Caenorhabditis elegans: one gene and its partners. The protein of the gene in region 2 interacts with the protein of the main gene of each other region in a pairwise test. Each region holds a gene or a part of one and is shown on either strand. Other genes may lie near its edges. The genes, in order: daf-4, edc-3 and cgh-1.

Region 1 (12,220 bases), on a different chromosome or scaffold from region 2:
CAAGATGACTCTATATATATAGCGAAAATTATGACGAAAATGTCAATTGGAAGTAAAAATGGGGGAAAAATGTTAAGTCCTTAAGAGCTGTCGGCCACTCACAGTGATAACAAAAAAGAGCAGCCGACATCATAAAAGGTTCGCGCATCCAAGAAGTTGTTGCCCATTTTGATCGCGACAGATCTGTACGAGCAGCCGGATTCGTTCAGAATTGCCGTAAGACGTCGGCTGCTTTATTTTGAAAGAAATACAACTTATTTTTCAAACAACTCAATAACAAAAAAGAAATTGGGTTTGTCTCTTGTTGTTGAGCTCAGATAGCCCATCTTGAAAACTGAGATGTCCTCCACCATTTCCTGGTGGTCTAAAGCGACAATCCACGAAACAAAAAGAGAGAGAGAAAGCACGGTGAGTTCGAATTTCGAGACAAGACTGAGCTTTATTTTTTTGCTTGTGCTGACTGGAGCCTCAATCGAATTCGTTCGCACGCTTCTCAATTTGACACACAGACACACACAAAACATCGAATTCTTCTTAGAAGTGTCTCTCTGAAAAGTGGAAGGAGAGGGACAAGACACGCCAAATATGATTGATGTACAAGACGAATAGAGAGAAGGAGCCAAATTGCGTTTACTCACTAAGAATAGATCGGTTCCCTCATGTTATTTTTTGCTGTTGAAGAAGGAGGAGAAGAGAAATTTCAAAAACCGTGAACTTTTGACTTTTAGCATGTGATCCGTCGGGTGTCGGCTGCTGCTGTCAAGAACTGGAAGCAGCCGACATTCTGCGGGCCCAGTAAAGATTGTGTGAGTGGAAAGCTTTTTGGATTAAAAAGCTAACATAAAGAAGGGCTAGGAACAAAAATAGGCGTCGGTTGGCTACTGCCGTACAAGGAAATGTTTTATGTTGAAATAGACGGAAAGTTGATAGTCAATAACAAAATAAGAAGTGAAGGAAACATTCTAACTAGTGGCAGGTGATGAGGCATATCAGCTGTCTAAAAATGGGTATTTCCGGATGAATCTGAAAAAAGAAAAATGTCAATTTTTCGTGAATAGCAAGAAACATTATTTAATTTTAAGTGTAAAAAATGAAGAATAAATAATCAACTGATATACAAAAAAAGATTCTTGTGTGATGTGAACTGCCAATACAAAGTTATCACAGATCAATGAATATAGTGAATGAATGAGAGAATATGGGGATGCCCCATGGGCTGAGGTAAGTTTTTGAGTTAGTTGGATGAGAGTGGGCAACTTGGTTGAGTGAGAGACAATGCAAGAGATCAGAGATTTTGGAAGAGTTTTAGACGACGAAGACATAGAACTTTTAGCGGTTCTTATATTGAACGTCTGTAAGTTGATATATACACCGGTTGTGCTCAAATTGAGATCATTAGGGGACGCGTAAGTAGAGACAAGGTGGTGGGCCAGCGGCGAGGGGCCCGTGAGGTGTCCACCGCTACATATAGACTAGAATAGGAGAGGATGGGAGTATAATCATAATATAAAATAATGTTAGATTTGAATGAATAGTTATGTTGTAAACGTTCCAAACGTCCCTGAAGGCGTTGGTGTCGACGCTCGAGTGTCTGCCCCAGCTTCGTATTCAACTTGCCGTTGAGCATTCATAAGGTCAAGCTCTTCTCTTGAGAATAGCATGTTCGTCGCAATATCGTAGATTTTCTCGACTATCGGGAGATCCGGCAGCTCTTCGGGCTCTGGCTCCGCGTTGTCTGGTTGGAGGATTCCTCCTGAAAAATAATTTTTGTTTATAAAAAAGGAAAAATAGCAGGCGACACTTTACTAGTTACGCCAGGCAAATAAGGTTTTGGAACCCGCAAAACGTCGGTTGCTCGTTGGTTCACGCAGCGGGCACTCTTAAAACATCAGTGAACTCACAAAACATCGGCTGCTAGGGACTAGCCAATCATTTCAGAAAACTGTTACCACAAAACCAATTAATTAGCCGTGAGATGTTTTTTAGCATAGCCATTCGTATCCCATAAGATGTCGGTCGGTCATTTACCAGCATCCTACATTTACCTACACAAACGTATAACTAGTCAGTGAGATGTCGGCTGCTCAAGGTTTAAAGCTATGCTGCATTGAGCATCCGACATCTCCTGGGAAGTCACCTAAAATTTAGAAACTGCTTTTCACAAGCAGCCGACATCTCACGGGTCATGTCAACTATTTATTCGATTCACTGTACACTCACCATTTTCAAGGATCACAGGAATCGGCGGAGGTGGTGGACACGAATCAAAAAACGGATTCGGACTAGGATGTTGTCTCTTGCTGGGTGACGACGCATGATAATGTTGCATTTCTTCGATACCCTCCGGCTTCTCACTTTGTTCAACATCATCAACACCCCGATTCTTCATACTACTTCCACTGTGATACCCCTCCGAACTGTCCGGTGAGCTCATAATATGATTCCATACCCTCGCGAACGCACATCCAGCTGTAATCCGTGCACACGCTTCGGGATCCCACATCTCTTCCGTAACCTTTTTTAGCAGACTCATATATTCATGTTTAATAATCTCATCTCTCCATTGTGGTCGTTCCTTCTTGCTCACCACATAATTTCTCATGAGACCAATTGTGGGATCAAATCCGATGACTTGAAACGGCATTTGGTAGTTTGGTGGCTCGTCGGTTTGGTGCAACTTGGTACGGGATATGACTTCCCACATGACGAGTCCCATCGAATAAACGTCCATCGCTTTGAAAGCAGTTGGCGTGAATTCGGTTGCTCCTTCGAGCATCTCTGGTGACATGTAGCGTTTCGTTCCCACTTGACCCAGCAAATCGCTTTGCTCAATGTCATAGCTGTAGATTCGGGCGAGGCCAAAGTCCGCGATGCATGTGGTCATGTCGCTTTTCACAAGAATGTTCTTCGACTTGATATCTCTGCAAAAAATTGGTTATTGAATTGAATAAGTACAGACATTAGAAACAGTTTGGAGCATACACTAACCAGCGTCGTGCGTCGTTGAAACTCGCTACCTGCTCTTAAAAGGTAACGTAGTGTTACTGGGAGCATTGGTTAGAATCTCTCCGATAGTAAACCGAATATCATAATAACACTTTGTACACAATTTTCCCGCGAAATTTATATTCTGATTATGTTCTAATTAACTCTAGATACTTTAGGTGTTCCAATGTACAAAATTGTTTGAATTTTTATTTTTTTTCTAAACCCTAACTTTTCGAAACTTCAACTGAAAATTGTCATGCGCCTAAAAATTGGTTTTTTTTTTTCAATATTTTACCCTATCATTTTGGACTCTATCGTGTGTATTTCAAAAAATATTTACTGGAAATTGCAGCCGACAACTTGTAGGTCCACGCTACTATTAATTGATCCTGAAAATGTCGGCTGCTCAAGCGCAACTTAGCAACTTCTTCCGATTTTTTCTAGGACCAACCTAGAGTAAAGTTCTGAGCATTAAAACTAGTTGGAGGGCGATCACAAGTCAGATCCATTAAAAATTTTCTAATTATTTTCATTTTCCACTAACCTGTGAATAATTGGCTTCTTTGGGTGTCCAAAGAAGTACGGCCTGTCGTCATGCAAGAATTGAAGCCCATCGATCATTGACATAATAATTCGATTGGCAGATGTAATACTAATTACATTATTCTTGAGTAACTCATAGAGACTAAGTCGCTCATGAAATTCGGTCACAATCCAATACTCATCACCAATTTTCTCGGCGCACACAAATTCGACGATACTTTTATACCACTTCGGGTACTCGTTAAGCTCATCAAAGATTCTTTTCTCCGCCAAAAAGCTCGCTTTTTGGAATTCGTTCAATTTCTTCACCGCAACCAATCGTTTCTCACCACTGTCTGGGGTGTATTGCGCCTTGAAAACTTTTCCAAAACGTCCCTTTGAGATTAACTGCAATAAACGAACAAATGTCATTGAGTGTAAGTGTGACGTCAATCAGCTCATGAAAAGAGCCTTCTGTTGTTTTCAACATTTTTTCTCAAAGATAAAGAAAAAGTAAGGAAAAGCTCAGAGTTCACAAAGTAGTGGACATCAAAAGTTTACACCGTGAGGTCGAACTTCCGAGCAAAATATCAAAAAGACGAACTATTATGAAGACGCGAAATATGTGAATTTTGAAATCAAAGTGCAAATGCGCTCCAATGCCAAATGAAAACGTTCCCCGACACTGTTAAAAAACCATAAATTCAAATGTTTTCAGAATTGTTCGTTGTTTTTAAGTTATGTTAACAATTGTTTTTGATAATTTTTAAAAAATTCATGTAAAGCTGAAAAGTTTCACCAATATGGTTTTTTTTTCAAAATTCAAATGTTGTATTCTAGATTTAGAGAGCATGTTTCAATATAAAATATCAAGCACGACTCTTGCGGTACCTACATACCTGAAAATCAGTGATCGGCAGCTCCTTTGGTGTCTCCACCATTTCAATCATTTCCTCTTCCGGCTCCACGAGAGGCACATTTCCAGCTTCCAGTGCGTCAGTTTTTTCCTGAAAATTTCGAAAATTGATTCGATTTCAAAAAAGACAAAACTCGCCATGTCAAATTTAATTTTCTGCTGCTTTTTTATCTCCTCCTTCTTATTCTGCTGAAATTTCCAACCAACGTATGCCAAGATCAAGAGTGCAATACAAAGGATCACTGACAGTGCGATTATGATGATCCAGTAGAATGGGAACTTGTCTGCAAATTCGCTCCATTGAGAAACTGACAAGAGTGGGGGATGTGTGGTAGAGGGTGTTTAGCACCTAGTTAGTACCCAGCTAGCCCCGAGACGTAGATGCAGACAGTACCTAGAGATTCCAAATCCATGTTGGATGGAGTTGAAGCCCACAGAAGTGCAGAATTATCCGAATCTGAAATTTTATCGGCTCTAAATAGGTGATTTCAAAATGTGTACATGTTTTTATTTGTATGTGTGTGTGTGTGTACAGGCATCTTCCACGGGTGCAAATTATTACGAAAAAGCGTTTGTTTCACTTTGCAACGACACTCCGCTCACTGGAGGGGAGGAGCCAAATAACAGCAGAGTGTCGTTGCGAATCGCCTCTAGAAACAGAAAGAACAAAAGAAAGTTGAAATAAAAAAGTGGTTTACTTGCAAAGCCACAAGAACAAACATAAAATTGCATGAATGGTGTGTGTGTGTATGTGTGAGGGGTAAGAGAAAATTAGGAGACAATCTGGAGAGGTCCACGTGCATTTTTTTCGGAGAAAATTAGGAAAGGGAAGAGAAATTGGGAACAAGGTTTATGACAACTGCAGGCTTTTACAGAGGTGGATTCTTTCAGGTTGAGGGTACACGGGGAAAGGTTGGGAGGAGTATAGCTAAAGTAATGGGAAGTTCTCCATATTTTTCTTAATTTCCGATTGACTTCCACCGGAAATTTGTTCAGCTTTGGCGCAAAATATTGTCTCAGGGCTAGCTGAACTATCTTTCAATGTTTGCCAAGCTCTCTCGAGCTTTCTTCTCAACCTCTGCTCGGTTATCCTTCTCTCTCATTGTCTCAACTTCAAATTTTATCATAAACGCGTCATAAGGTTGTCGCAGTTTGGACGAACGTTTGCTGAGATCCGTAGAGACCATTCAAAATTTTCTAATGGGGTTATTCAAGTAATGTAGCAAAATGCATTTAAATACATTTGTGACGTCACAAATGTATTTAAATACATGTTTTTATCTACTTGAATAAGGTTGTGACGTAATTTTTCTACACTTTTTAATTTTCCGACACTACTTGAATAACCCCATAACCTCTCTCCAACTTTTTTTTTCAACGCTCATAAATTAGTTGAAGATTCGTCGCAGCTTCCGTCTTCCATCTGGCCCGCTCCTCAACTCCTACTCTCGTCTTTCACTTGTCGAAAGCTTGACTCAGATTGATCACACTTCGCGTCACTTTCCCTATTACTGTGGCCGAGCTCAAACCAAACATCGCCAAACTCTCTCGAACTTTCGCCTGAACGCTTCTACATTAGGACATATTGCAATTTGGTGCTTCTCATTTGCTCGCAACGTTTGCCAACTTCCGTCCACTATCTCCCTACACTCGTCGTTAGTTTGCCACATTTTTGTCTAACTTCCTGGGAATTTTCTCGAATGTGCTCCAACTCTGTCGTATTTTAGTTGATGGGAGGCAACCTCCGTATGATGAACCGTATTTCGAAAAAATAACTAGGCACAGACACGCGTGGTTGTTCAACTTTCGTGAAAATTCTGCTAACTTAAAGCTAAATGTTTCACAGAAAACCTCTCATTTCAATGCCAACAATTTCTCCCTAGCCTCTAGCCCCAACGCTCACCCGAAAGAAGGTTATTTAAACAGAAAGTGGGACAGAAAGAAGGTAAAAAAGGTAAAAAGAAGGAGGTGATATATATGTATATTCACAAAAACAGAATCATTGCGTGTTGCTCTAGTATACTAAGAATGGGGTTAAACATGGGATATAGTGCTCTCTTAATATAATGTGCTCACTGACCCTTCTTCAATGACGGGTTGACCATCTCGATGAGATCCGGCATGTTGCAATTGTTGGTCGAACAGCAGCACATTCCAATTCCGCCGCGAAATGATCGTCCTTGGCGACACTGAAATTCCAGTTTTATGAGGTGCTCCGAATGCTGAAATATAACTTACGGAGCTTTCGTTCTCGCAGTTCATCGAGTCCGCGTGCTGATACGGCATACATCCCAGACTTTTGTATTGCGGTTTATCAACTTTCAGGTATGGTTCTGTAGAGTTTATCTGGAAATTTTAAGATTTTTGATGTTTATAATATGGATGCATATATCTATTATTATCCCCTTTACTCAATTAATCATCTTTTGAAACATGGGCAGCTAAATCCGGATTAGTTGGTTTGCACATTTTTAATGGATTCGATCAAAATTGGATTGATAAACTCAACAACTTTTAAGTTTGGTTTGAAGAGCTTTGTAGCAAAGGAATAATAAAGCCTTGATCATTAACTTTTTCCGCAGTATTTTTTTCAATTTGAATCAAGTTCCACGTTTAAATCCTATGTCGCTCAGTAAATTTTCAAAGTCGTCTTCAAAAAGGCCAAAACCTTGCTCATATGTATTTGTTTTCGATAAAACTAATGCAATTCTGATTTTAATTTTGATATTCAAATTCCATCCTACAAAACTATCAAAAATCACGAGTCATGTCACCCCAATTTGTTCCAGCTGACAAAGTCATAAGCCAGAATGGAAAAAAAAATGCAAAAGATACAAATACTTCCGCGGATGAAGAGGAAGAAGATGTCACTCATGAATAACAAATGAAACAATATATATAAAGGGCCCCCGTCATGTGACACAGTTCGGTCTGGGGGTGGCCGCCAAAAACCTCTTCCACACTAACCTCTTGCGTGGGCAGCCCAAATACGGCCAAGCATCCGACGGCTTTCAGATGAGCTTCACTGTAACACGTCTTCTTTGTGATTTCACAATCGCCACTCTTTTCGCATTCCATCTCGTCGTAGTACTGCAAAATTTTAAAGTTTAACGTTTTTACTACTGCTTTAATTTTGGGGAAGAGAGCCTATAATTATGGAATAGTGATAACACTTGAAAAACAAAAGGAGTTGTAGTTATTGTAGCTTGCGGGTTTGAACTTATCCCTTTTAGAATATCTTGGTACTTTAAAGTAACTATAGTTAATTGAAACAAGGATCAGTGGAATGTGGGTGGATTGGCTCTGCGACCTCTACAAGGGGAACAGGGCTCACTGGAATTAAAGTGTATTTGATCCAGTAATTTTTAAACAAACGGGAGAGTCACTGATTTCTGATCCCCAAAACGTCAACACTATCTAATGAGCCTAAATTCCATCAAATTGATCCAAAAACTTACTACACATTCAATCGAAATCACTTCATCCTCCTCATTGTCCATTCTCCTTAACGTGGGCTTCGCTGGTGCCGAGACCTTAATAGTGCCAGTTCCATTTGACTGTGCTACTTTGCTGACTAGGGTGTTAGCCCACTGAAAGATGGTTAAACCAAGGAGATAGAATAAAATAAAGAAGTTTACGACAAAAACACATTTTCTCAAAAAATGCTCACCTCTTTCTCGGCGGCTTCCGATTCGATTCGGTCCTGACGATCGTCTTCCGTGACTGCAACAGGAACCGGTGTGGCAATTAAAAAGAGTGGAAGGCAAATGAGCACAAGTGCCTTGAGACGTACTGTCCCTTTCTGATTCATCTGAAAATTGAAGGTAGTTGAATTATTGTAACGTTTTTTTTAAAGTTGAGGAGTAAAATAAATAAATAATTAAGATCAAATGTTTTATTGAGAAAAATAGATGCAAACTTATTTAAATAAAAAAAATAGGTCAACAAATTCAACTTGAGAAAAAATAAATAAAATTTCAAAAATTCGAAAATTCGAAAATTTCGATAAAATTAAATAAAATTGCCAGCTTTGCTAAAATTTCCAGCTAAAATTTTAAAAATTTAGTTTTGATGAAAATTAAATTTCTTAATTTCAAATAAAAGCAATCGAAATTTCGGATAAAAAAATTTCGAATTTCGACATTCGAAATTTCCAATTTTTTTAACAAAAAACTTTTCATTTTTTTAAAATAAAATGTTTGAATTTTACTTCGATGCACCATGAGAGTTCAAAACTTTCAACTAAAAAATGTCAACCAAATTTTTCAAAAATTCCGTAAAAATAGGAATAAATTGCACAATCTCCATCAAACGAAAGATGTGAAAAGTGTTAAGGAAGCACAAAAAGTTTGCAAAAAAAATGAAGTGAGAAGCACACATCAGAAATGAAGAGAGAAAAGAGAAAAAGAACGAGGAAACAGCAAAGATTGGTACACTCTTATCACTTTTACAAACTCTACTCTCTACTTTTTGTTTCAAATAAAAAAAGGTTTTCATTCAATGTTCTCTAATAAACAACAACAAAAAATCAAATGACGTGACAATCTGACCTACAAGAACCTTACAAGAGGGGCTCGCTGTCCTCTTGTGCTCTTTTTCTCATCGGAGGGGGCTAAAGTTGGGCGGGGCCCAAACAGAATGAAGGCGGGATCTTCCGGGGTCTATAGAACGGGAACTTTGAGAAAAATATAGTATCGATGAACACCTGCACCTTATAGGAAATGGGCGAAGTTCGGACTAACTGGACTTTCCATATTTCGGTTCCCAAAATACACTAGCAATTCGAGGAAAAATTAAATAATGTGCTATACACATGTAATGTAACCAAAAAAAGTTTCTCAGGATTATATTTCGTGCGTGGTACCAGGAAAACGTATGTTTTTTTCAGCAGAACGGAATTGGAGTAGGCGTGGGCTCGGCTAAAAGTCTAAAATGAGATTTAGGCTTGGGCTTAGGCTTAGGTGTTCGTCCAAGTTTGGGCTAGATGTCGGGCGCTAAGTTTCAATAAGTTTTCTGTAAAACGTACGAAAATAGAAAGTACCACTCAACGTCATCCTTTCCTTCTTCTTATTCAAAAACATGTCACCATTCGTTATTTCAGGTGAATTTATACTTTTCCTCCTGCCTCAAGCCTCCCCGTCACATTGAATCAAGCGACTTAAGTGGGAGAAGAGAATGTCAAAACGAATATTTTTTGAACATTTTTCATATATTTTTTGTGTTTACCTTGACAACAACAAAGCACTCGCTTTTTTCTGGGTATTATTCACTCGTTCTATTTTTGCAGCAAAAGCCGAAAAAGAAAAGGGGGAAAAAGAGCGTGAAACTCGGCGAAATTCACATGTGACCACGGTGGGTTTGTTGTTGTTGCAGAAGAAGGAGGAGAGGGTAGCAGCAGGCGTGTAAGACCAAAGCTCTCTTATGTTAGATGAAGAAGAAGAAGAAGGAAAAGAGCAAAATAGTAGGAACCTGAAGGCCTCGGAATACCTGAAGGAACCATCGAGTTCAAAGTAAGAGGTCGAAGAACAAGCAATATTGCTCACGATGAGTACACGACGGTTTTGAAAATTATATGAAAAGAGATAATTGTCAAGAAAAAAAATAAATTATTCGAATTTCAATTATTAAAAAATACATACTACCTAATTCGGCGGGAACTAAACTTATGTTTACTTTTTCAAATTTTTCCGTATAACTAGATCAAATTCAAAACATTAGTTCAAGTACTCCTCGTGAACAACCTGTATTTATTTTTCCAAATAATCATTTTTTATTATTTTCTTCCATGAGAACATTTAAAATTGTAACATAAATCTTGTAGCATTTTAACTTATTTTTCGCAACTTTTTTTTTCATTTTCAAAACAGGAAATGTCGCAAAAATTATGGGGTTAGCTACCTATAAGAAGAAAATAAACTTGATGTTGATGATGGGTCGAAAGTATAAAAATTTTAAAAACAGTTTTAAATCTTCAAAAAAATCAATATAAAAGACCTCCATGAAAAGGTCCAATCGTGTGAGAAAACGTTAAATTGCAGCAAAAAAGTGTGGTTTCGCTGTCGGTTCGAGGTTAAACATTAGTGAAAAAAAGGACACAACTTGTTTGCTTTAGTTCTTCTCATTTGAAAAAGAGAAAAGAGAGATAGTAGTGAGAGAAAGAGAGACAAAACAAAAAAGATTGGGTACTTATCATCAGTTATTCAGTGAATTAATATTATTCATGGTCAGTGGGAATAAAAGTTTAAGATTTTATATGAATTTTGCGATTATAAATATCAAAAAATATTAACTATGAAGTGATATAACTCAGAATTGGCAAAAAAAAATAGCACAATCATTGCTCAAATATGTTCAGCACAAACTTTCCTACAATTTGTCAATTGACATTATTTTTCCTAACTCTTACGGAAATACCTCGACAGCAAAGTACTCCGAAGTTGCAAACAACTTCACTAGAACTTTGACTACAAAACACAAACCGTGAAGAACACTTCCGAAAATAATTTATTTGGGAAAATGATGGTCATTACCAGCCCGCCCACGACGCACTCCAAATAGGTCAAACGATTTGCAGGGAGGGTTGAAAAAATGTTGAAAAAGTCACATATAACTTTTTTTGCAGGACACTCAGGGGGAGATGTTTTAAGTGGTCAGAACTTGAACAGTAGATCAGAAATTAGCGGAAAGTGAACATGGATACTAAACATACAATTTTCTGGAATTTCCATAATTGCCAAGAACATTGAGAGTTATCAAGGAATGTTAAAGGGAACCGCATAGAAGCTAGAATGTATCATTTCTCTATTCTCTCCAAAAAAAGAAAGAATGGTAAAATTTACTTAAAAATTCAATTAACAAAATATTTGTCAAAACGTTTGCTATATCTTGTAAGTTGGCAACCCTTTTCAGGCGTGCAAGAGAAAAAAGATAACGAAGCTAAATGTTTGACATTACTAAAACTGTTAGAAAAAAAGATAGAAAAATTGAACGAAAGATGAAAAAGTGTAAAGCAGGAAGAAGGTGAGTTTGCAGATTTTTGACAATCAGAAAAAGTTTCAAAGTTGCAAATTATGACAAATTGGAGCTTTCAGCTTGAGGAGAAAAAGAATGAGGTTGTCAGGGAGATACACTTCTAGTATTTAGTTATTCTCGGCAATGTTTCGGCAACCGCCATTAGATGCTAAAATTGCCCAAATAGCTCTATCGCAAATACCATTATTGCCGATTGCCTACTTGAAAGAAGAAAGTAGGTCGACAACTTTTCTGCAACTGGCGAGCTCAAAAAAAGGTACACCCGGGAAGCAGTATTCACCCAACGGAAATTAGAAGAGCAAAAAGAGAGAGGAAGAGAAAAAGACGGTGAGGTGGAACCTGGGTGCCTCATTTTCCCGCGCAATCATTTAGTCGATGTGCCCGGGCATTGTGAGCCGTGTGTTCGGGTCGTCAACTGGGAAGAGACGATAGAGAGTACACGAAATGAAGAGACGATGGACTTGCATTTGTCTACATGTCTGCGTTTCAGGCCTCTTTCGTACGCCTAACTTTCTCTATTCGGCCGCCCGTGTCTCTTCTTCCTCTCCACAACAACCACGCGTTCGATTTGTTGAGAGAATAATTTCAGCGCTCTTTCTGTCTTTTTCTTTTTTTCTCTCTATCTCTCTTTCTTCCTCATACACTGCATTTTTTATGAATTGGAAAGAGGATATTGGGAGAGAAGATGATTATGAGGAAGGAAAGAATAACACGAGATTATGCTGCATAAATCGGTGGTTTGGGGAGCAAATTTTTAGTGAT
Region 2 (10,197 bases):
CCAGTTGATGTGACTCCAGTTAAGGGACGCGATGGAGTCTTCCGTATTCCAAGTCGTTGCATCGAGCTTATGCACGCGGTTAGTTTGAAAATTGTACATTTATTTCTGATTGTTACGTTTTTCAGAACAAAGTTGGACTTAAAGGACCACTCGAGACCCCAATTGGAAAAGGACACAGATCTTTGAATTTGGCTGTGAGAAAAGAGTTTAGCCTTTACGCCAACGTTCGTCCATGCCGTTCCCTTGAAGGACACAAGACATTGTACGACAATGTCGATGTTGTCACAATTCGTGAGAACACAGAGGGAGAGTACTCTGGAATTGAGCACGAGGTATATTAAATTAAATAATAAATGTATCACCTAATAATTGTTTCAGATTGTCCCGGGAGTTGTTCAATCTATCAAGCTTATTACTGAAACTGCTTCTCGCAATGTCGCCAGCTTCGCCTTCGAGTATGCTCGTCAAAATGGGCGCAAAGTTGTGACTGCTGTCCACAAAGGTAATATAAATTGAAAAAGAAAATTAAAACAATTATTTTTACAGCCAACATTATGAGACAATCCGACGGTTTGTTTTTGTCCATCTGCCGCGAGCAAGCTGCCCTCTACCCAGATATCAAGTTCAAGGTATGAATAATAGAATTTAAAGAAAAACCACTTCCTGTTAAAATTTATAATCTATAATTTTAGGAAGCCTACCTCGACACAGTTTGCTTGAACATGGTCCAGGATCCATCACAATACGATGTTCTTGTCATGCCAAACTTGTATGGAGACATTCTTTCCGATTTGTGCGCTGGTCTTGTTGGAGGACTCGGAGTCACCCCATCTGGAAATATTGGAAAAGGAGCCGCCGTATTTGAGTATGTTTTTTGTTAAAAAATGCTTTGACAAATGAAATGAACTCAGTTTAGAATTTTTGTTAATTTCTGAAATTTCAGATAAACACATAGAAGTGAAATCGAAAGCAAAAAATACGAAATTATAAAAGTAGGAAATACTAAAAAAGTTGAATTTGATGAAATCTTGCATTTTTTTAATCTTCTCAATAAAATTTAAATCTAATTTTTTTTAACCTGAAAACTTTATTTTATAGCGAAATACAATTTTTTATTCAAACAAAACTTACCAAATTTCTTTACAGATCCGTTCACGGAACCGCCCCAGATATTGCTGGACAAGACAAAGCAAACCCAACTGCTCTTCTTCTATCTGCCGTCATGATGCTCCGTTACATGGTTTTTATATCGTAGTCGGTCTAAAAATTTTACAAGCTCATTTTCAGAACCTTCCACAACACGCTGCTCGTATCGAAAAGGCTGTATTTGATGCAATTGCTGATGGACGTGCCAAAACTGGAGATCTCGGAGGTACTGGAACTTGCTCTTCATTCACCGCTGATGTTTGTGCCCGTGTTAAAGACCTCGAATAAATGCTCAATGCTACTTCCCCTTCTATTTTCTTTTTCTTATTGTAAACAGGCTGTTAGACACTAAAACACTTTGATGATTAGTAATGATTTAATGACACCTTTTTTCGGTTTTCAATTTTGTATAGATTACCCACCAGTCCATCCCGCGTCCTTAATCGCTTTACTCCTATCCCATTGGCATGAACCACAAAATCGTTCGATAAGTCTTCTCTGATTCACTCGCATAACTATAAGCACCCCGAGACTTTTGTTTTTTCTTCTTCTACACCATCTTTCGATTCCCATTATTTCTGTTCATTTCTGGAAATTTTTATATGGTTTTTTCTTTTCGAGATTTTATAGACAAAGAAACTAAAAAAATTTATTAAAGCAATCGTTTCTACATAATCACAATAAGTTACAGCGTCGCGTGGATTCGGGTTACAGAAGTCACGAAAATCAGAAGAGTTTGAATGATACCCATTATTGCACAATACCAAGTGCTCACAGCCTGAAAAATGTTTTTTCCCTCAACTTTTTAACTTCTTGAAAAGTAAATTTTTTTTAACGTACATTTTTCGAAGCGTACATTGCCAGTGCGAGAACCATTGACGTAGGAGCACCAAAAACGAAAGGAATGATGAACATCATTACTGAAAAGTTGAAATTATGAAAAAAAAAAGATTTTCAGAATCTTACTGATAAATGGAATTGGAATAAAGCAAACGTATGGATGTTTTCGAAGAGTGAAAAGGGAAAGAATTGTGGCTCCGAGACTAATTACCTGGAACAATTGAAACATAAAAAATAGTTTCTGAATAAAATATGTCATATTACCCGTAGCAAATTATGCCAAAGAATACAGACCCCAGTTTCGACACGACTAATATACTTGTTGAGTGCATGGTGTGCGTTCATCTGTTTTTATCGTTATTTATTTTTGTTTTTTACAAAGGAATAAATTAATTAAATTAAAAAACCCGTAGGCAGGAGTTTTAAATTACAGAACACACCTTTTTGCATTTATTAAAAATGTGTCGTATCGAGACCGGGTACAGTATTGTTGCCAACAATTTTTCGTCTGTGTAATAAAGTCAGTTTTTGTTAGGGCATTTTGGTGAATTAAAAGGTGTTTAGAAGTAGGGACTCGGAGTTTGGAGTAATCCTAGCCACTTTGAAAGAAGTGTTAATAATATTGCCAAAAAAATATAATACACAGATTTTTTTTCTGGAAATGCAAAAATGCCAAATCTTCGAATTTTTGGAACATTAGAAATTTTAATAATATTTCATGTTTCCAAAACTTACCATAAAAGAAAGTGACATCCAAAGAAATATGCTTAATGTGATTTCCCACCAATCATTCATATATTTTCCAGAAAGAAGTAGTGCACCGGCCAACGAATAAGTGCTAGAAATAGAAAACATTAAAGTATTTCTTGTGGAGATTTTTTGAATTTTAAAATCAAAAATGAGCTCATGGATAGAATAAAAGGGCATGTACAATCACATTATACATTAATTTCATTGCATTGTTAACGGTATGCGGTATTCAGTTTAGAATTTAGAAAATTTCTCACCTTTCACTGGTTAAATTTGTATAATTTCTAGAATTCTCGAAAATCGTAATTATTTCTTTATTTTCCGGCATCTTGAGACTCTTGATTACATTATTTTTAATTCAAATTCTGAAAAGCAGAATAATAATTTCAAAAATTAGAGATTAAAAGAGATAATTTGGAGGAATTAAAACTTTTTGTAAATTTAAATTGAAAACATGAATTCTCGATCTCTAATATTTTATTTTTCGGTGCTAAAAGTAGACGTGGTTGGGACAATAAGGTATATCAAAATATAAGATTTGTGCAAGAATATGGAATGGAAGATACATTTCAAAATTCAAAAAGTTTTGGTTCTTAGAATGGAAATGTGCAAGTCAAACGGGACAATACGAAACCACCGATATATTCCAACGACTTGCCAAAGGGAAGAAAAATGATATTGGAGTGATAAAGTAACGCCGACTGTGGGATTTTTAGAGAAAGAGAACAAATGCTAAACTACACGATTTGGTTTGATTTGGGATATCTTATGGAAGAATTTTACTATTTTGAGAACAAAGAAAATCACTCGATTCATTGTGATTGAGACTATAGAGGGATCGCTGGAGAAAAATCAAAATGATACTGAACCATGTTGGGCGAATAAAAAAAGTGTATGTCAACAGGAAAAGGGTTTTAAATAAACTAATTGGATTGTGAAAGTCTGACAAGGAAAGTTGTAGAGAATGCGGTAGAAATGAATTTGGAAGATGTGTTGTCGAACCAATTCGATGGAGATCCGAGGTCAGCAATGGCACTATCTGGAATTTTTTTTTGAATTTATTGAGTAGAAGAAGTAAACCTTACCAACAAGAATAGAACTTGTCTCCTCGTGCATTTTACCCTGGCACAAATGTTCAAAAGTGATACCTCCACGATTTATCGTTTGAACCTTACGTTCCGCATGCCGAAGTCCGTTTGTAGCACATCCAAATTGAAGCAAATGGCATCGAGATGGTTCGAGAACACTTGGAACATTTTCAATGCATACGTAATGAGAAGAAGCTCCATTGCTTTGAGCACGGAGCCAACATTCAACATCGTCGTTGACGACTGGTGAGAGAATACAGATTATCTGCAAATATTACATTGAAAATTATTTTTTTGTGAGAATTTTTGAACAAGGATGTTATTCGATATTCGATATTTTTGGAAAATTGATTGAAATCGAAAATTTTCGGTCATTTCTCTATTTTTCCAACAAATTGTATTCTTGATCTCATCAAAATCGGCAAACATTTGATGTAAAAATTTTATTTTTTCGATTTTTTTTAACAATCGAAAACATTCGTTTTTTCGACGATTTTTTTCGCAAAAATTTGCAAGATACGACTTTTGCAGCAAAACTTTAGTTTTTTTGATTAAAAAATCATCAGAATTCTGAATTTTCGGTTTTTTGTTAATGTTATTGCAAGAATTTTTGTTTTTTTAATACTTGCAACAAAATATAAATATTTCCGAATACATCTAAAATCCTGACCGGAACTTCTCTCGGAAGCATCTTTACATCAGTGACCACATTGACATGATCAAAGATCTCTCCTGGATATTTTCCGAATAAATGACAATTGTAACGTCGCTTGTCGAAATGGGTGAGCAGACGACGAATGGAACGAACAGAGTTTGCAGAAGATGCGAGAAGAACTACAGTTCCATGTGCATCACCATACGAATTTTGAACTTCTGAGACCCATTGGAAGATGCGATCGGCGACGATTGTGTCGTAGACAGCTTCTCCTAACGAAACCCTACATTCCTAAAAGAACATCAATTTTATATACTAATTTATTGGAAATCTCTCACATTCAAAAATTCTTTCTTTTCATTCAAACTTATTGCAGGAATTGGATCTCCAATAATCGACTTCTCAAAACTCACAGCAGTAACTCGGAAGTTGTTCTTTCTAGAATTATTACAACTATTTTCATAATATTCATTAAATAACTAACTCAGATGTCTGAGGTGTCGTTCCTGTCTTCACAAGTTCAGATCGTGCCTTCAAATTTGTCCACGAGGTCACTCGATTCTCATCGTCAATTATATTTTCGTAGTGAGCAAAATTTTGAGAGCATTTAAATTTTTCAACTGTCTCATAGTACTGGTCATCATTCTCCTGTAATATTTGTTTAAAACAAGAAAATTTCATGAAGAATCTCACATCTTTCTCGAATAATTTCAAATTTTCCGCAAAATCAAAATCTGAATCCAAATCAAAATCGATTGGATCAGCGAGATCATTCTTGTTTCGGCCACCAATTCCCTTGTAGTGATTGAGAGCGTCAAGAACTGGATTTCCAGACGGTCCTGAAAATCGAAACTTATATTTTGATTTTCAAATTATTAGAATTCTAACCCTGCTTCTTCGAACATCTTCCCCCATTCGAAGCGATTGTGCTCAAAACTTTTGGGTTCGGAACTTGGCGATCGAAACTTTGGAAATGTGGTGTTGCTGAAATTTCTTCAGCTGTCTGAAATATGTTATTGGTAAAAGAAATATATCATAGATTTATCATACATGAGAGAATCCATTGTGCATTGGTGATTGACGGCTCTGTTTCTTCGCAAGAGTCAGCTTGGATGGTGTCGAGTGATGTTCAAAGAGTTTTTCAACATTTGTCGCAACTGGAAAAATACATATCTCCTTCAAAAAATATTTAATTTTTGTATTTTTTTTTCAACTTTTACTTACTCTCGGTTAAGATAAGGTATTCAAGTTAGATAAAACACGTTTTTTAATCATACATTTTTTCGGTGATCGCCCCTTTGCCGATTTTTGAGGAGAAACTGCAACTGAACGATTGCGAGAAGAATCCGGTACTGAAGAAGCTGAAGAAGATGCGGTGGAAGTGGAAGATACAGTAGATTCCGCAGACTTCTTCAAAGGTCTCTGTTTATTTACACTATTTGAGGAATTTTGAACTGGCAAGGGCTGGGATTTTTGAGTTGACTGGGTAGCGCCTCTAATCACTTTCAATCGACTAATGTCTGACGACGAGAGAGTAAAGCAACGATGAAGAGGAAGTCCATTTCTGAAAAAAAACACATTTAATTAAAGATTTTATTGAAAATCGTACTTGATAACATTCGCCATGGTCAAATTCCCATTATTCGTATCATACGTTGTCAACTTTCCTTGATAGACATTTCCATCTTTAGTTTCGGTTGATATGACGCTTCCAATGAGTTTGTCATCCATTTTTAATTTGAAATCAGAAGAATTGGAACCTTAAAATTAAAATTATAAATGGGGAATCGTCCGTAGAGCGATAAAAGATAAAAAAGGAATAGAACCTCGGAAAAATATAAATAAGAACAAAACATTTAAAAGTTCTTATTTTAAAAATAACGTTCCGGTGAAATAAAAATGATTTGGGTACAGAATTATTCTCTAAATGAAAGAGATCAAATTGAAAAGAAAAACAATAATTATTGCAAAAAAATAAATTATCCCATAAAATCAAGTGGACGATTGAATCCTCCCTTTCGGTTCATGTATTGGCGGTATCTGCGAGGTTTCTTGATGTTCACGCAGCCATCCACGTTGTCATTGACCTGAAAAATTATAAATCTTTAAAAAATTTTAATTTGTGGAAGAATATTCAAAGATAATAAATATATACCTGTTTATTTTTAGTTGTATCGAATCCACCAAATCCCATTGCAGCCATCATCGCTTCATCGTCTGCTCCACTTTGTAACGACTCTAGACTGATCTCCTCTTGTTTCTCTCGTTTCTTTGGCTCACGATCCTTTTTTTGTCGTTCACGATCACGTTCTTTTCGATCCCGTGATCGACTTCTTTCCCGCCGATCTCGTTTATCGCGCGGACTTCTGCTTCGACTGCTTCTCTTTTCTTTTTCGTCGCGATTTTTGCGAGCATCTCGACGTTCACGACTTCTACTTCGTTCTCGCCTTCTTTCCACTGATCTTGATCTGGATCGTCTCTTCCTATCGCGACTGCGACTTCTGTCACGTCCCATTGCTCGCGAACTGAAAAATAAACGAAACTTGTAACGAAAGTAAAACGCAAAGCTATTTACGAAGCTTGAAAAGAAAAGTCGTCATAAAGAATTTTTCCGCGGAAAATTCGACTCAATTCTCCTTTATTGTCATCATAACGAGTAAGAAATGAAATAATTAAAATTTTATATTTCTAAATGAGTTTTCTGCTCTAAACCAGAAGCCGAGTACAAGGAAAAAGAATTAGTTTGTTTTTCAATAAAACGTTTTTTTTTGGACAAGAAAAAAAAGAAATCGAGAAATTTATTGGACAAGAACCAAACAAAACTGAATGCTTGTGAAATTTGCTGAAATCGTCGATATTTTCGTTTGTACGGTGGGGCGCGCTTTCTCTTCTCCGTTTCAAAAAAAAAATCGGTTTCGTCCAGAACATCATAACAGCTTCGGCGTGAATTAAAATATAGTTTCAATGAAAAATACATTATAATCAACTTAAAAACACTATGTTCTGGATAAAATGGAGATAATGGTAAAACTTTTAAATTGGACTCGATTATTTCAACAACGAAAAACAGCAAAACAACAAAAAAACAAAAAAATCCTAACAATTTTCAACTGAAACAACAAAACAATTGAGCGCAAAATTCGCAAAACATTTATATATTCTTATTGTTCTTCTTGATCAACTTCTTTTTCTTGATTTTCTTCTCTGGTTTCTCCGCTGTCTGTGTTTCAGTTTTATTCTTCGCTTTTTCCTCAGCGGCTGCCTTTGCTAACATTTTCTTCTTCTTGATCACCTGCTCTTTTACAATGGCGATTTTGTGACGCTTTGGAGCATGTTTGAGCATATCCTTTTTACGATCTCTGAATTAAAAATTGAGTACTCAGAACAATAGGATTACCCTCAAACCTCGAGACTTTTTTCATTTCCATTAAATACTCCGGCACATCAAAACCAGATTGACGGATAACAGTTGCAATTGATTTAATATACTTCATATCAGCATCTGTGAAGTATGTGACAGCATGACCACTCTTTCCAGCACGACCAGTTCTTCCAACACGATGAATGTAGCTAACAATTGAAGTTGGCAAATCATAATTGATAACCAATCCAACATCAGACAAGTCAAGACCTCTTCCAAGTAATTCAGTACAAACGAGAACCCATATCTCTCCTCGACGGAACCTTTCCATCGTTTCATCCCTTTCCTTATCACTTTTTCCACTGTTGATTGAATCAACTTTTAGATTTGAATCAATTGCAGACAGTAATTTCACCAGTTGCACGGCACGATCCTTGCTTTGTACAAAAACTAGAGCTGGTGGTTTGAAGGAAGTTCGCAACAAATTTCGAATAGCGATTTTCTTTCCATCTTCAGTTCCACAATAGGTTAACTTTTGCTTCACACTTGTATTAGACGAGTTTCGTTCACCAACACATACCATACCAATTTCATCGATATTCTCCTTACACCTGGAATTTAGATATGGAATTTTGATATGACAAATCTTCGAAAACGTACCATTTTTCAACTTCATGTGAAAATGTGGCACTGAAGAATGCGACACGTGTGCATTTGGCATCACAAGCCTTGTAAATTGCAGCGAGTTGGTTACGGAAGCACTTGTCCTGGCCTTCAACAACCTCGAACAAACGATCGGATTCATCAACGACAAGCCATCTGAAAAAATGAACAAAGTTTTTAGGGAATGGTTCAAATGCAAACCTTAATGAAGACGTATCAATTTTATCCAAATGAAAAACGATACGATTTGGAGTTGACACGAGGATATCTGCATGCTGAATATCAGTTTCTTCTCCACTGAAGTTGGCAGCTGAGATCGAAGTATTGGCGCAATATTTCAAAAATTCGGTGTAAGTCTGAAAATCGTTAAATTTGATTACGATTCTATAAATTCTGTAGAACCTGTGCTGCTAGTTCTCTTGTCGGTTCGAGTACCACTGCCAACAGCTTCGAAGAGTTAGAGGATGAATAATCAGCACGTTGCTTTAATTCGAGAATCTCATCGATGACTGGAAGAGCAAACGCCAACGTTTTTCCTGATCCTGGAACAGCCGGAATTGGAAGTTTTTCTCTTTTCAAGTCTTTACCTGTGGGAGCACTAGCAAGAACATTTCTTCTCTCAGTCATAAATGGAATTGATTGCATTTGAATTGGTGATGGTTGACGGATTGAATTCTCAGATAGACGATTGAGCAATGATGGTGACATGCTGGAATCGGAGAATCGTAGAATAATATTAGGAAGATGATCACCCCAAGTGAAAATTCGATTGGTACGGCGAATGTCGTCGAGCTGAAGATTTTTTTTCAAATAAAAATTAAATTTCTGTAGAAATCTCACCAATTTCTGCATTCTCTTTTCCACGTCGCCAACGGTCTCCTCCACTTCATTTTCAGAATCTCCGTCAGAATCATGTACTCTCTTTCGTGATGCAAGAATTTCAATCGACGCTGAATATTACAAATGGTTTATAAGTATTATACTAAATAGACAATATTAACCTTTCTTTTTATTTTTCTTCACTTTTTTCTCAATTTTTGACTCGACTTTTCCGATCATTTTTTCACGAAGTTCGTCATATCTCCGAAGCGATTCTTCTGTGATCGTTGATAGTTCTTTCTTTTTGTTAAGATCATCGGCATCTTTCTTTTTCGGTTGTGATCTTTTAATACCGAACGAAAGGGTTCTAAATGCCAAGGACATCTGAAATCACATATAGGTATACAGATTCGGGTGAACATTTCGAAAGAGGTAAAAATGATGAGATTCAACATCATTATAAAAAATTAGAGTAAAAATGCAACGATTAGTCAGTAAAATTCATAGGAAATTTGATGTAGTTGTATAAAAACCAAAGCCAAATATAAATAAAACAATAGAAATTATATTCACGAGTGCAAAAAAAGTAAGCTCCCCTAGATCAAGCTAATTGAGATTATTGGAATGCAAGAGAGCTGTGAGATTTCATAGAGTTAATGACGTTGATTTTATCGTTGAGAATCAGTTGACACACGTCTTCGCTCATTTGATTCGCGATCGTTGCCATCGCTGGTTTAGTGCATTCAGTGCTGGATAAAACACGAGAAGATAGAAGAAGATCGGCAGTGACGAGATCAAGTTGTTGAGACCATCCTTCCAATTTTTGAGTATTTTGAATCATTGACATGTTAACTGCATCCAAATATGTTGTAAGA
Region 3 (9,668 bases), on a different chromosome or scaffold from region 2:
ACAAAAGCATCCACAACTCAAACATTGAGGTATATGGTTTATAGGTTTTTCAGCTTTCTATCGTATTAGTCAAAATTGCAATGCTTCGTAACAATGTTTAAATGGGGCAAAAGTCTAAGCTGAAAGTTGAAGCGATTTTGCTATTCAAACTTCCAGTTTTGCGTACGTTATCAGAGCGACCCTTTATTATTTGAGTTGTGGCGACCCATTTTAATCATATGTTTCCAAAAAAGTTTTTTAACTTTTATTCCTGCAAAATTTTAAACTAAAAATCCACAAAGAAATCACCGAGTACGGTCAAATCAGATCAAAAGAGAAAGAAATATGCAGACAACATACGTATAATAAAATTTGGATTTTCTGATACATTTTTGAATCGTTTGGAAATCGTGTTAGAACCCTACAGATTTTGAATTTACGGATATACCAAAATCTAAAGTTTTCCAAAAAACTTTTCCAAAAGTGAATAAAAACACAAAAACAAGAAGATACGAAGAACCCATGTTTGCAACGGAACTTGAAGGACTATAATTGGTGGGTTCGTTTTCTTACTGCCAGTACAAACAGTTGGTATGCCGAGTAATTATTAAACCAGAATTTCAGACATCTGTATTTTTTAACTTCTGTTCTATAGACATCCTAGGAAATTATATGAATTTAGTTTGTCTTTTTATCTTTTTATGGAAAAATGATAAACTTTTATTATTATTTCCAAAGATCAATTAAAAGCATAAACTATTTCAAAATGTATAATATCACTTCTAATAGTAATAGTTTTTAAGTAGTCTATAGTTTGTTTTTTTTCCTTGCGGTTACTAATGGTAAATGGAACATCGAAAAATGAGTAGACATTGAGAAAATGAGAAAAAAATCCAGTTTTTCATTATTCGAAAGGTTGACCCAATGGACCTAATGGCATTTCAACCTCTTCTTTGTCCAACTTTTTCACTTTTTACGCCCATTTTGCATTTTGCATGAATTCACAAATAATGTTGCAATTATTCAAAAAAAAATTTATGTTTCAAAACTACATAGGTTTTGACATTTTGCCAAGAGTGAAAATTAAATTTCTGAAAAATCTTGAACATTTTAAAGTATTTTATTTTAATTTGTAGCCTTTTTGATCAACTTTAAGTTTATTTCAAGAAAAAACTCCACTTTACTGTACCTTCAGAACTTTGACGAAAAGTTTTACAAAATAGGTATAGCTCCACGTTAAAGCTCTTTGTAACTCAAAAATCCGATCAAAAATTGTTTAGTGTAAAAAAGTGAATTTGAAATTTGAAAAGAATTTATTTAGAAATGTATCACACCGTCCACTTCTCCTTCATTTCAATTCAAAACCGTTTTTCATTCTTTTTTTGACACTTAAGTGGTCATCAACGCTGTTTAGAATATCAATACACTTTTTTGCGATATAAATGGTCAACAAAAAATAATGAGGGAAAATGAAAACAATTTTTTAAATAATAAAGTTAACAAATCCTTCTATATAAAATATAAAAACCTTTGAAGAATACTGTAATTTTTAAATTTCGTTGCTGCGGAATTAATTCCGGAATTTTCATCGATTTTTCATATTTACCATAGTTTTTCGATTAAAAATATTTATTTACTAAAATACTAATACGAAACAATTAAGACATTTAAATTTCAACAAATCGTGAAACTATGAAAAATCGATGAAAACTCCGCATCACCACAAGTTTGAAAGTACAGTAATCTTTCAAGGCGCACACCCGTTTACGTAAAACTCGCAACATTTCGCGTCTGGGCAATAAAACTTTGTTGTACTTCGCATTATTTTCCATTATAACATCATCAACGAAAAATGAAAGACTATTTCAATTTATTAATCGGGCGCGTTCGTCTGGAAAATTTTCTGAAAATGGTCATTTTGTACAATGCAGTAAATGTGAGTAATACGAGACTAACCTCGTGATTTATCGATGGAGTTGGTCAAAAAAGTTATATTTTTATAAACTTTTGTTATTTGATTAAAATTAAAAAAAAAGATGCCTAAACCGTATAAAAATCAGAGAAAAAAATAGTTTCGATGCCATCACTTGTCTCTCTGCGGATATCGCGCAAAGAATTCCAATCCAATTCAGACCGGTTCGAGCCGCCTGTCATCGACGGATACGGATTGTTAACATTTGCATAATATTACAAAAGGCGAGGATATACATATAGAAAAGCATATGAGAAAATGAAACTAAAAAGAATTTTCAAAGTCATTGCGGTCGGAATCCGAATACACACTAATAGATTAATGTAGACGTTCCGACCTCTCCCGTCACCGCAATATCAACTAATATTACTGTGCGCGGCGCGCATTACTGGTGCCGATACGGATGGGCAATCACCTCTCCGGATGACACATCCAAGAGAGAAACAGTAAATTGAATACCGACCTCAACCATTGCCGCTGGCTGACTGTCAACACATTCAACGCCTTCCGCTGCTGTTGCCAGGGAATACGAGAAACGAAAGTAAATCGTCGCATTTTGTTACTTTCATTTCACATGGTCTTTCACTCGGGAAATGCGCTAATGTGCTTTAATGTATCTCTTGTGGGTTTTCGGTTTTTCTCAAGGCTTTCACTACTTTCCTCTTCATATGAAACTCTGAAAAGAAATAACAGAAGACGATGTTTCGATTCGGTCTTTTATTGTTAAAGATGGCAATCATCCAGAAGGAAGCTTGCACATCCTTTGTGAATCGAAAAATTGTGCAAATTTTTGGTGTCAACTTCTACAAATTATACAATAAACAAGAGGGAGGAGGCGGGAGAGAACAAATGGTTTTGGAATGGGGATGGGGGAAGAGCTGTAAGCGAGACACATGGCCAGCCGGAAGCCTTCCAAGACATTATAGTCTTTGAGCCATTTGACATGATAATAGTTGCAATAAATATCTATCAGATTAGGAGATGGACAAGTTGAACTGGAATGAGCACAAGAGCGGAATAAAACCCTACAGATGGGCAAGGGAAAACCGCAAGGATGGTGGTTTTAAATTTTGGATGCATTGGTATGGGGCATGAAGGGAGAATTGTGGGAAATGAGATAGGAAATTACAAGATTGATCAATGTGGTGCGGCTCAACAGAATAACTACAGAGCCGGCTACCCAGTATGATACACGTCAAAAAGAACCCGATGTGTATGAACAATGTCCTTACACTCCCAAATATATTTTGCAACGACACATTAATGTCGAAACAATTTACTTTGGGAGCATAAAGACCAACTTAAATGACTATGTAAAACACAACGACTTGAATGAGTTACAGTCCATGACTGCAAGTTGGAGGGTATGGGGAAACTAATGAAAAAGAAAAATTAGAATTTTACACCGCATATAAGTGGAACGGGTTGATGGGGTCCGGGAAGGTGGATGGGATACAAATAATGTGCGGGGATTTGAGAAAACAGGAAGGAAAGATGCTTATGCTTGAACAATATTAAATTTAGCACAAACTGTGCATTTAAAGGAAAATAGAGAACATACACAATCTGGACGAGATCACTAGAATGGAAAAAAAAAACGTAGGCGACCAGTGTGTTTTGGAGGTTTGGGGATATGAGAACTAGTGTTTAAGCAGTGGTCTCATCGGCGGCATCGACGAGCTGCTGGTCAGCGACATACAGCTTCGGGTCAACCGTTTTCGGGATGGGCTCAATGCGAGTACGAAGCTCCTGCTCGATACGGCGAAGGGTGTGACGGTCTTCGTAGGTGATAAGGTTGATTGCAACTCCGAGGTGACCGAAACGTCCAGAGCGACCGATTCTGTGAAGGTAAGTCTCGGCGTTTCTTGGGAAGTCAAAGTTGATGACAACATTGACAGCCTGGATATCGATACCTGAAAAATTACAATTATGCATGAACTACACTTTAAAATAAGAAAAATGGCGCTCAGATATCCGTTCTTCAATTATCTCTTCACATAACTTCAGAGTGTGTGTATGTGTTATCAATCCTCATCGCGCAAATTATTTAGTCAAACTTACCACGGGTGAGAAGATCGGAGCAAACCAAGTTTCTGCAGTTTCCTTGACGGAAGTCATGGAAGACACGGTTTCTGTGATTCTGAGCCATCTTGGAATGAATGTAGTAGCACGAGTAACCGATTTCCGTGATTTTCTTAGCGAGAAGCTCAACACGTTGAGTAGAGTTACAGAAGATGATCGACTGGTTGATTTGAAGTTTTCGGAACAACGTATTCAAACAGTGGACCTTTTGCTTCTCTTGAACAAAGGCATAGTATTGGGTGACACCAAGAAGAGTAAGCTCCTCCATGAGGTTGATCTCATACGGCTTGTGCATGTGCTTCTGCATGAACGAAGTGACGGTGTTAGGGAAAGTGGCAGAATAAAGCATAACTTGACGCTCCTTTGGGAGGAAGTTGATGAGGCGGTCGAGAATTCCCTGTAAACGAGAATTGTTATCTTATTCAAATGTTAATTTTTTTACCTGGAAGTCTTGACTAAGAAGTTTGTCAGCCTCGTCAAGAACAAGTGTTTTACAATGTTCCATTTTGGCGACTCCTTTCTCCATAAGATCGAGAATTCTTCCTGGGGTGGCGATGACCAAGTGAACCGTTCCGTTTAGACGCATGATATCATCACGGAGATCAGTTCCTCCGGTAGTGACCATAACTTTGAGCTGAATGTGTTTGGAGAGCTCCACGCAGATCTGTGAAGTTTGGAGAGCCAATTCACGAGTTGGGACAATGACCATGGCTTGAATAGCTTTGAGGGCTGGCTGGATCTTCTCGATAACAGGGATACAATAAGCTCCGGTTTTTCCTGTTCCGTTCTTAGCTCTTGCGAGAATATCTTGACCAGTGAGAGCGACTCCGATGGATGCTTCTTGAATAGGACTCGGTTTTTCCCATCCTTTCTCAAAAATCCCCATGAGAAGATCGCGTCCAAGGCAGAAATCCTCAAACTCGACTCCCTTCGTATCAGTGACATCCTGAAAAATGAAATGGTCACAAAGTCATATAGGCTTTGCAAACTCACAGCAGTTTTGAATCTTCTGTCTTTTGCTGGAAGATTGAGACCAGCCTTCCAGTTTTCGTCGCCATTGTTGGCAGGAACGATCTGTTGTTGCTCCGCTCCACTCATTTTCCGATGTCGTAGTAGGTTTGATTTCCTGATGAGATCTGTAAAATCGAGATTAAAGTTGAGAAGTTGTTAATGGTGTAAGTTGAGAAGTTGTTAATGAAGGAAGATAAGTTTTTAATGCGAAAAAATGATACCTATCGAGTTTACTACAATTTTGTTAGTCATGGAAAAATCATTCAAGCATTTTCAGAACAATTAGGAGGAACGCTAAATAACACTGAGATAATATTTATGCGAGACAACCGGTGTCTGTCTCGCGCTCGTATACACACGATCAATGACGGTTAGAAAAAGCAAGCGAGTGGTCGGCGGCGCATAGAGACGCACAGACACTCTTTGGGTTGCTGGAGTATCTAGCCAACAGGGTAGCCGATGTTTGACGACGTGGCAATTGACAAGAAACAATTTCAAAAGGTCAGAGAATCACGACAATTTTTTATTGATACCTTCCAGTTTTTAAGCGACTCTCCAAACAATAAACGCGAAAAAGTTTATATTTTACATTCGAAAGTTTGAAAGAACACTTTTTGTTATCGTTTTTTAAAACAGGTTTCTGAGCTACGAAACTGATAAAAATCTTCGGAAAACGACTGAATCTATCAAGAAAGTGTCGATAACAGATTGGAGCTGCCATCGTCGCCTAAAACTCTTAGAAATCTAGAGAAGAAACACAGAAACACGTGGAGAACAACGGCCAAAATGAAGGAAATGTGCGAAGAAACGAGAGTGTGGAGAGAAAAACTGTGAGAGCGACGGGACGAGTAGGCCAAGCTGCTGCGAGCGACGAGTGAGAGGCATTTCGCTGCGTACATTCAACACACAAAAGTTGAATACTCAGCCAACGCGCGAAACAAAATGGCGGTAATTCAAAATTAGATTTCAATGAAAAACTTTACGAAGATTTGATGCGAAATTTCTTGAGAATAATAATGAATTAAATATTAAAAAGAATATACCAGCGTCGATGAAAATTTATTAAAGGATAATTAGTTCTAAATGTAATGAGTAATGTGATTACTTTATCGTTTTTCGATTTCCTCATTTTTCTAATTCGAACTCCTCATATTCAACCAGAAATCTGTGATATGCGTCACATCTAGCTCCGTGATGGCAGTATACGATGAATATAAGAAACCGACACGGTTGGATAACACAATTGAAATACGCCAAATCCACAATAGGCAATATTTTCGAGCTGCCAACAAAATAAATTGTTCCGAAACAGGACACATCCACCACCATTTTTATAAACTGAAAATCTTAATTGAAAACAGGAGTCAAAAGAAACGTTACATTTGTGGTAATCGTAATAACATTGAGACGTTGGACTCCATTGTATGATATAAAATATATAACTATCAAAATGCTTGTTAGAAAAAATAACGAAAATTGAATGTAAACAAGTGACAGATACACGAACGACTCTGTCTTCATATCTGCAATTTTAGTTGTTATATTTTTCCACTTTTTATTTTCTTACAGAAATAAGCAGATCCAAGATAAACCGATTGGTACCAAGTTTGTAAAGCTTCTAGGCAAATCATGTTTATAGCAATAGGACTCCAAGATCCCTTAAAATTATTTATAAAGGCAGAAACATTACAGATAACAAACTTGATCGAGATTGAATAACGGCGGAGGAGATAGACTCATAATTCTTATATGCAAATTATTTAAAAATGGTTTGTTATTTTATTTATGAATTATATGATTTGAACGTTAAATGTTAATAATAATATGAAATTGCGTGTAACTCATGAATTGAAATTAATTACGTTATTATTTTGTTCTTTCTTTTTTCAAAAATAAAATGTTTCCTTACTTAAAAGTCGCGCCGAGATCCGAAAACACGCCAAAGTGGTTGCTGGCGCGTTTCATCATAATTGCTGACGCATTGTCAGTGCCTGGTCCATTTACTGGGAAAAATCTAACATTTTAAATTATTTCCCGGGAAATTTCCCCGCAATATGAGTATGGAATGGTCCAAAAAGAGAAAGAAAGTAAGTTTCCTTGTCAACTTCTAAGTGTCACAAGCTTTAATAATACCGATTTAAAAGTTTAGACATCTGACGATGAGGAGGCGAAGTTGAACGATGCTTTGTTGGAGTTCCAAGCAGACTTTGGACAATCTTCGTCTGTTTCTTCTCAGCCTAAAACTTTTCTGAGAGGAAATGTTGTCGAGGGAAATAAGATTTGTAAGAAAATCCATTTGAAAACTATATAAACTGAATTTTCAGCTGCTGGCGACGGTGGAATCTATGCACCAAAGTTTTCAATGAACATTCCGTCTAAAACTTCGAACGTTGGATCCAAAGATTTTGATGAAGCGAAAAAATTAGCAGCCGCGAAGGTAAAATTAATAAATTTCATGCGCTTAGTTCTTCACATTGTTTAAATTGGTAGAGATGTGTTCGTTTCTTAACGGATGTTTTTAGTGAAATAAGAAACACTATATTCAGGCTCGAAGGATGCTGGAAGACGTAGCACGAAGCAAAAAAATGACAGAAGTGCCGAAAGTTGTCGTGCCAACTACGAGGCCGTTTCAAAGACCCCCGAAGCCTGGCAGCTCGAAAGCGAAACAAGATAAGCCAAAGATCAGTCAAATGGAAATGTTTAAAATGGAATTGCAGAGGTATATTGCTAAAAAAGAATTTCGAAAGAATTATATCCGTAAAATTTCAGAGTTCAAGAAGATCGAGAAAAACGGAAAGATTTACGACATCATCTGGAAAAAGTTGGAATGGATCAAGCTGTAGTAGAGAGATTGGCTCCAACAGTTGAAAGAGGATTCCAGGGAACGTCGGAGTTTGACGATGACCCGTATACTACAAATGTATATGTCTCTAATATTCCACATTCAGTAACGGAAGACGATCTATTATTTACATTTGGTTCGTTCGGACCGTTAGCCGCACTGAAAATTTTGTATCCGAGAAGCGAAGAAGAGCGAAGACGGCCGCATATTTGCGCGTTTGTAGCATTTATGTCTCGTGCCGATGTGGATAGATTTATGGCTGAAGTTCGTGTAATCATCGTTCGGAATGAGCCAATTCGTTTCGCTTTTGCTCGTCCTGTCCAGATTCCTGCTATTCCTTACTACATTCCACCCGTACTTCATGCCCTTCAACATCCCGATCCAACTTCAAATTTACCCTTCAATGCACAACCGGATTGTGCTGATGCCAAAAAGTTTCTAGAAAAGTACAATACATTTCCACCGATGCATGCATTGCCAACAAAAGGACAATATGGGTATGAGGATTTCACAGAACTGATACGGAATTCACAAATTAGAGTTGTTGTCCCCCCGGACAGGAAGCTGGTCAGAGTAATGGATCGAATGGCCGTTTACGTTGTAACCGAAGGACCTCAGTTTGAAGCTATGATATGTGCAGAAGAGTTTCAAAATCCAATGTTCCAATTTCTTTGGGATAATACCAGTGCTCTTCACGTTTACTATCGATGGAGAATTTATTCGTTGCTTCAAGGAGACACTATTGAAGAATGGCGGCGCACTCCATTTCGAATGTTCGAAAATGGGTCATGGTGGATTCCACCGTATCCCATCAATGAGTTAAGAGATGCAATGCCAAAAGAACTGTATCATATGAATTGCCTTAGAACCTATCCGGATAAATGGATGAAAGTACGTGACGGAGGTCAACGAAGAGGAGGTGAGAGCTCAAAGAATCGTCGGAACTCGGATGCTGAAAAGGAAGAACGAAAAATGCGCAGGGAAGAGGAAAAAGAACGGAAACGAAGAGAGAAGAATGAGAAAAAGAGGAATAATCGAATGTCTGATAAACGACGTGATAAACTGGAGACATTGATTCGAGAGCTGACCCCTGAGAAGACGTCGATAGCCGCTACGATGGTTTGGTGTATACAAAATGCAAAATATGCAGCTGAGATTTGCGAGTGTGTATATGATAGTCTGACCATTGAGGATATCCCACTTTATAAGAAAATTTCGAGGTAATTGACTTTTCACTTTTAAAAAAGTCTGCAAAAACACACATGTAATTCGTTTAATTCGGGATTATATTTTTTATTTCAAAATTAACTCCAAAAATATGAAGCTAAGATTTTAATTGAGCGTTTATCTGCTCAACTTCAAGTTAACTTCCATAGTTGTGCTGATATAATATTTAATTAATTCAGGCTCTACCTCATCAACGACATTCTATCGAATTGTGTACAACGTAATGTTCGGGACGTTTTTCTCTATCGTTCTCACTTCGAAGCTCTTCTGGAGAAAATTTTCGTTGCTGTCGGGAAAGCATATCGGGCGATACCGTCTCGCATCAAACAAGAGCAATTCAAGCAGCGCGTGATGTGTGTTTTCCGAAATTTTGAGGAAATGGCTGTATATCCTACAGATAAACTGATTCATAATCAAAATGTATTCCTGGGACTCATTGAAATCGGAAAAGAAAAATCGGAAGAACGGGATAACCAAAAACTGGAAGAAGAAGAAGACGAAGAAGACTTAGATGGAGTACCTCTCGAAGAAGAAAAATCAGTTCAAAATATGAAC

What was found.
Region 1: the proteins of edc-3 (region 2) and daf-4 interact in a two-hybrid assay, tested with the Caenorhabditis elegans proteins (one study listed by BioGRID).
Region 3: the proteins of edc-3 (region 2) and cgh-1 interact in a two-hybrid assay, tested with the Caenorhabditis elegans proteins (4 studies listed by BioGRID).

The regions. Positions count from the first base shown.
Region 1 is NC_003281.10:5,621,159-5,633,378, reverse strand, and holds daf-4 (Cell surface receptor daf-4), read right to left. Parts: upstream 8,238-12,220; coding exon 8,097-8,237; intron 8,017-8,096; coding exon 7,885-8,016; intron 7,517-7,884; coding exon 7,394-7,516; intron 6,773-7,393; coding exon 6,665-6,772; intron 6,616-6,664; coding exon 6,507-6,615; intron 6,436-6,506; exon of another isoform or gene 5,173-6,435; intron 4,884-5,172; coding exon 4,821-4,883; intron 4,711-4,820; coding exon 4,565-4,710; intron 4,518-4,564; coding exon 4,410-4,517; intron 3,919-4,409; coding exon 3,533-3,918; coding exon of another isoform or gene 3,508-3,532; exon of another isoform or gene 3,281-3,507; intron 2,922-3,280; coding exon 2,221-2,921; intron 1,754-2,220; coding exon 1,536-1,753; 3' UTR 1,057-1,535; downstream 1-1,056. UniProt on the Caenorhabditis elegans protein: Involved in a TGF-beta pathway. May be a receptor for TGF-beta-like ligand daf-7. Controls the decision of whether or not larvae enter a developmentally arrested state, known as dauer, in response to environmental conditions.
Region 2 is NC_003279.8:8,598,167-8,608,363, reverse strand, and holds edc-3 (DFDF domain-containing protein), read right to left. Parts: upstream 6,240-10,197; 5' UTR 6,211-6,239; coding exon 6,089-6,210; intron 6,044-6,088; coding exon 5,757-6,043; intron 5,637-5,756; coding exon 5,530-5,636; intron 5,483-5,529; coding exon 5,368-5,482; intron 5,319-5,367; coding exon 5,173-5,318; intron 5,128-5,172; coding exon 4,964-5,127; intron 4,918-4,963; coding exon 4,818-4,917; intron 4,771-4,817; coding exon 4,495-4,770; intron 4,090-4,494; coding exon 3,822-4,089; intron 3,776-3,821; coding exon 3,660-3,775; 3' UTR 3,202-3,659; downstream 1-3,201. Other genes in the region: idha-1 (putative isocitrate dehydrogenase [NAD] subunit alpha, mitochondrial), read left to right, coding at 1-78, 126-332, 379-502, 547-629, 693-865, 1,147-1,240, 1,288-1,434; F43G9.13 (Vesicle transport protein), read right to left, coding at 1,832-1,924, 1,987-2,066, 2,113-2,197, 2,722-2,824, 2,994-3,064; snrp-27 (U4/U6.U5 small nuclear ribonucleoprotein 27 kDa protein), read right to left, coding at 6,459-6,566, 6,635-6,994; ddx-52 (putative ATP-dependent RNA helicase DDX52), read right to left, coding at 7,631-7,838, 7,885-8,451, 8,501-8,659, 8,705-8,859, 8,906-9,045, 9,091-9,295, 9,344-9,453, 9,505-9,706; paxt-1 (Partner of xrn-2 protein 1), read right to left, coding at 9,939-10,197.
Region 3 is NC_003281.10:7,492,664-7,502,331, forward strand, and holds cgh-1 (ATP-dependent RNA helicase cgh-1), read right to left. Parts: upstream 5,170-9,668; 5' UTR 5,132-5,169; coding exon 5,027-5,131; intron 4,980-5,026; coding exon 4,476-4,979; intron 4,431-4,475; coding exon 4,013-4,430; intron 3,992-4,012; exon of another isoform or gene 3,914-3,991; intron 3,865-3,913; coding exon 3,599-3,864; 3' UTR 2,657-3,598; downstream 1-2,656. Other genes in the region: C07H6.9 (Serpentine Receptor, class Z), read right to left, coding at 6,170-6,382, 6,425-6,567, 6,612-6,702, 6,746-6,784; sap-140 (U2 snRNP-associated SURP motif-containing protein), read left to right, coding at 7,099-7,131, 7,194-7,326, 7,369-7,481, 7,591-7,763, 7,814-9,106, 9,293-9,668. UniProt on the Caenorhabditis elegans protein: Probable RNA helicase required for oocyte and sperm function. Also required to prevent the physiological germline apoptosis mechanism killing essentially all developing oocytes.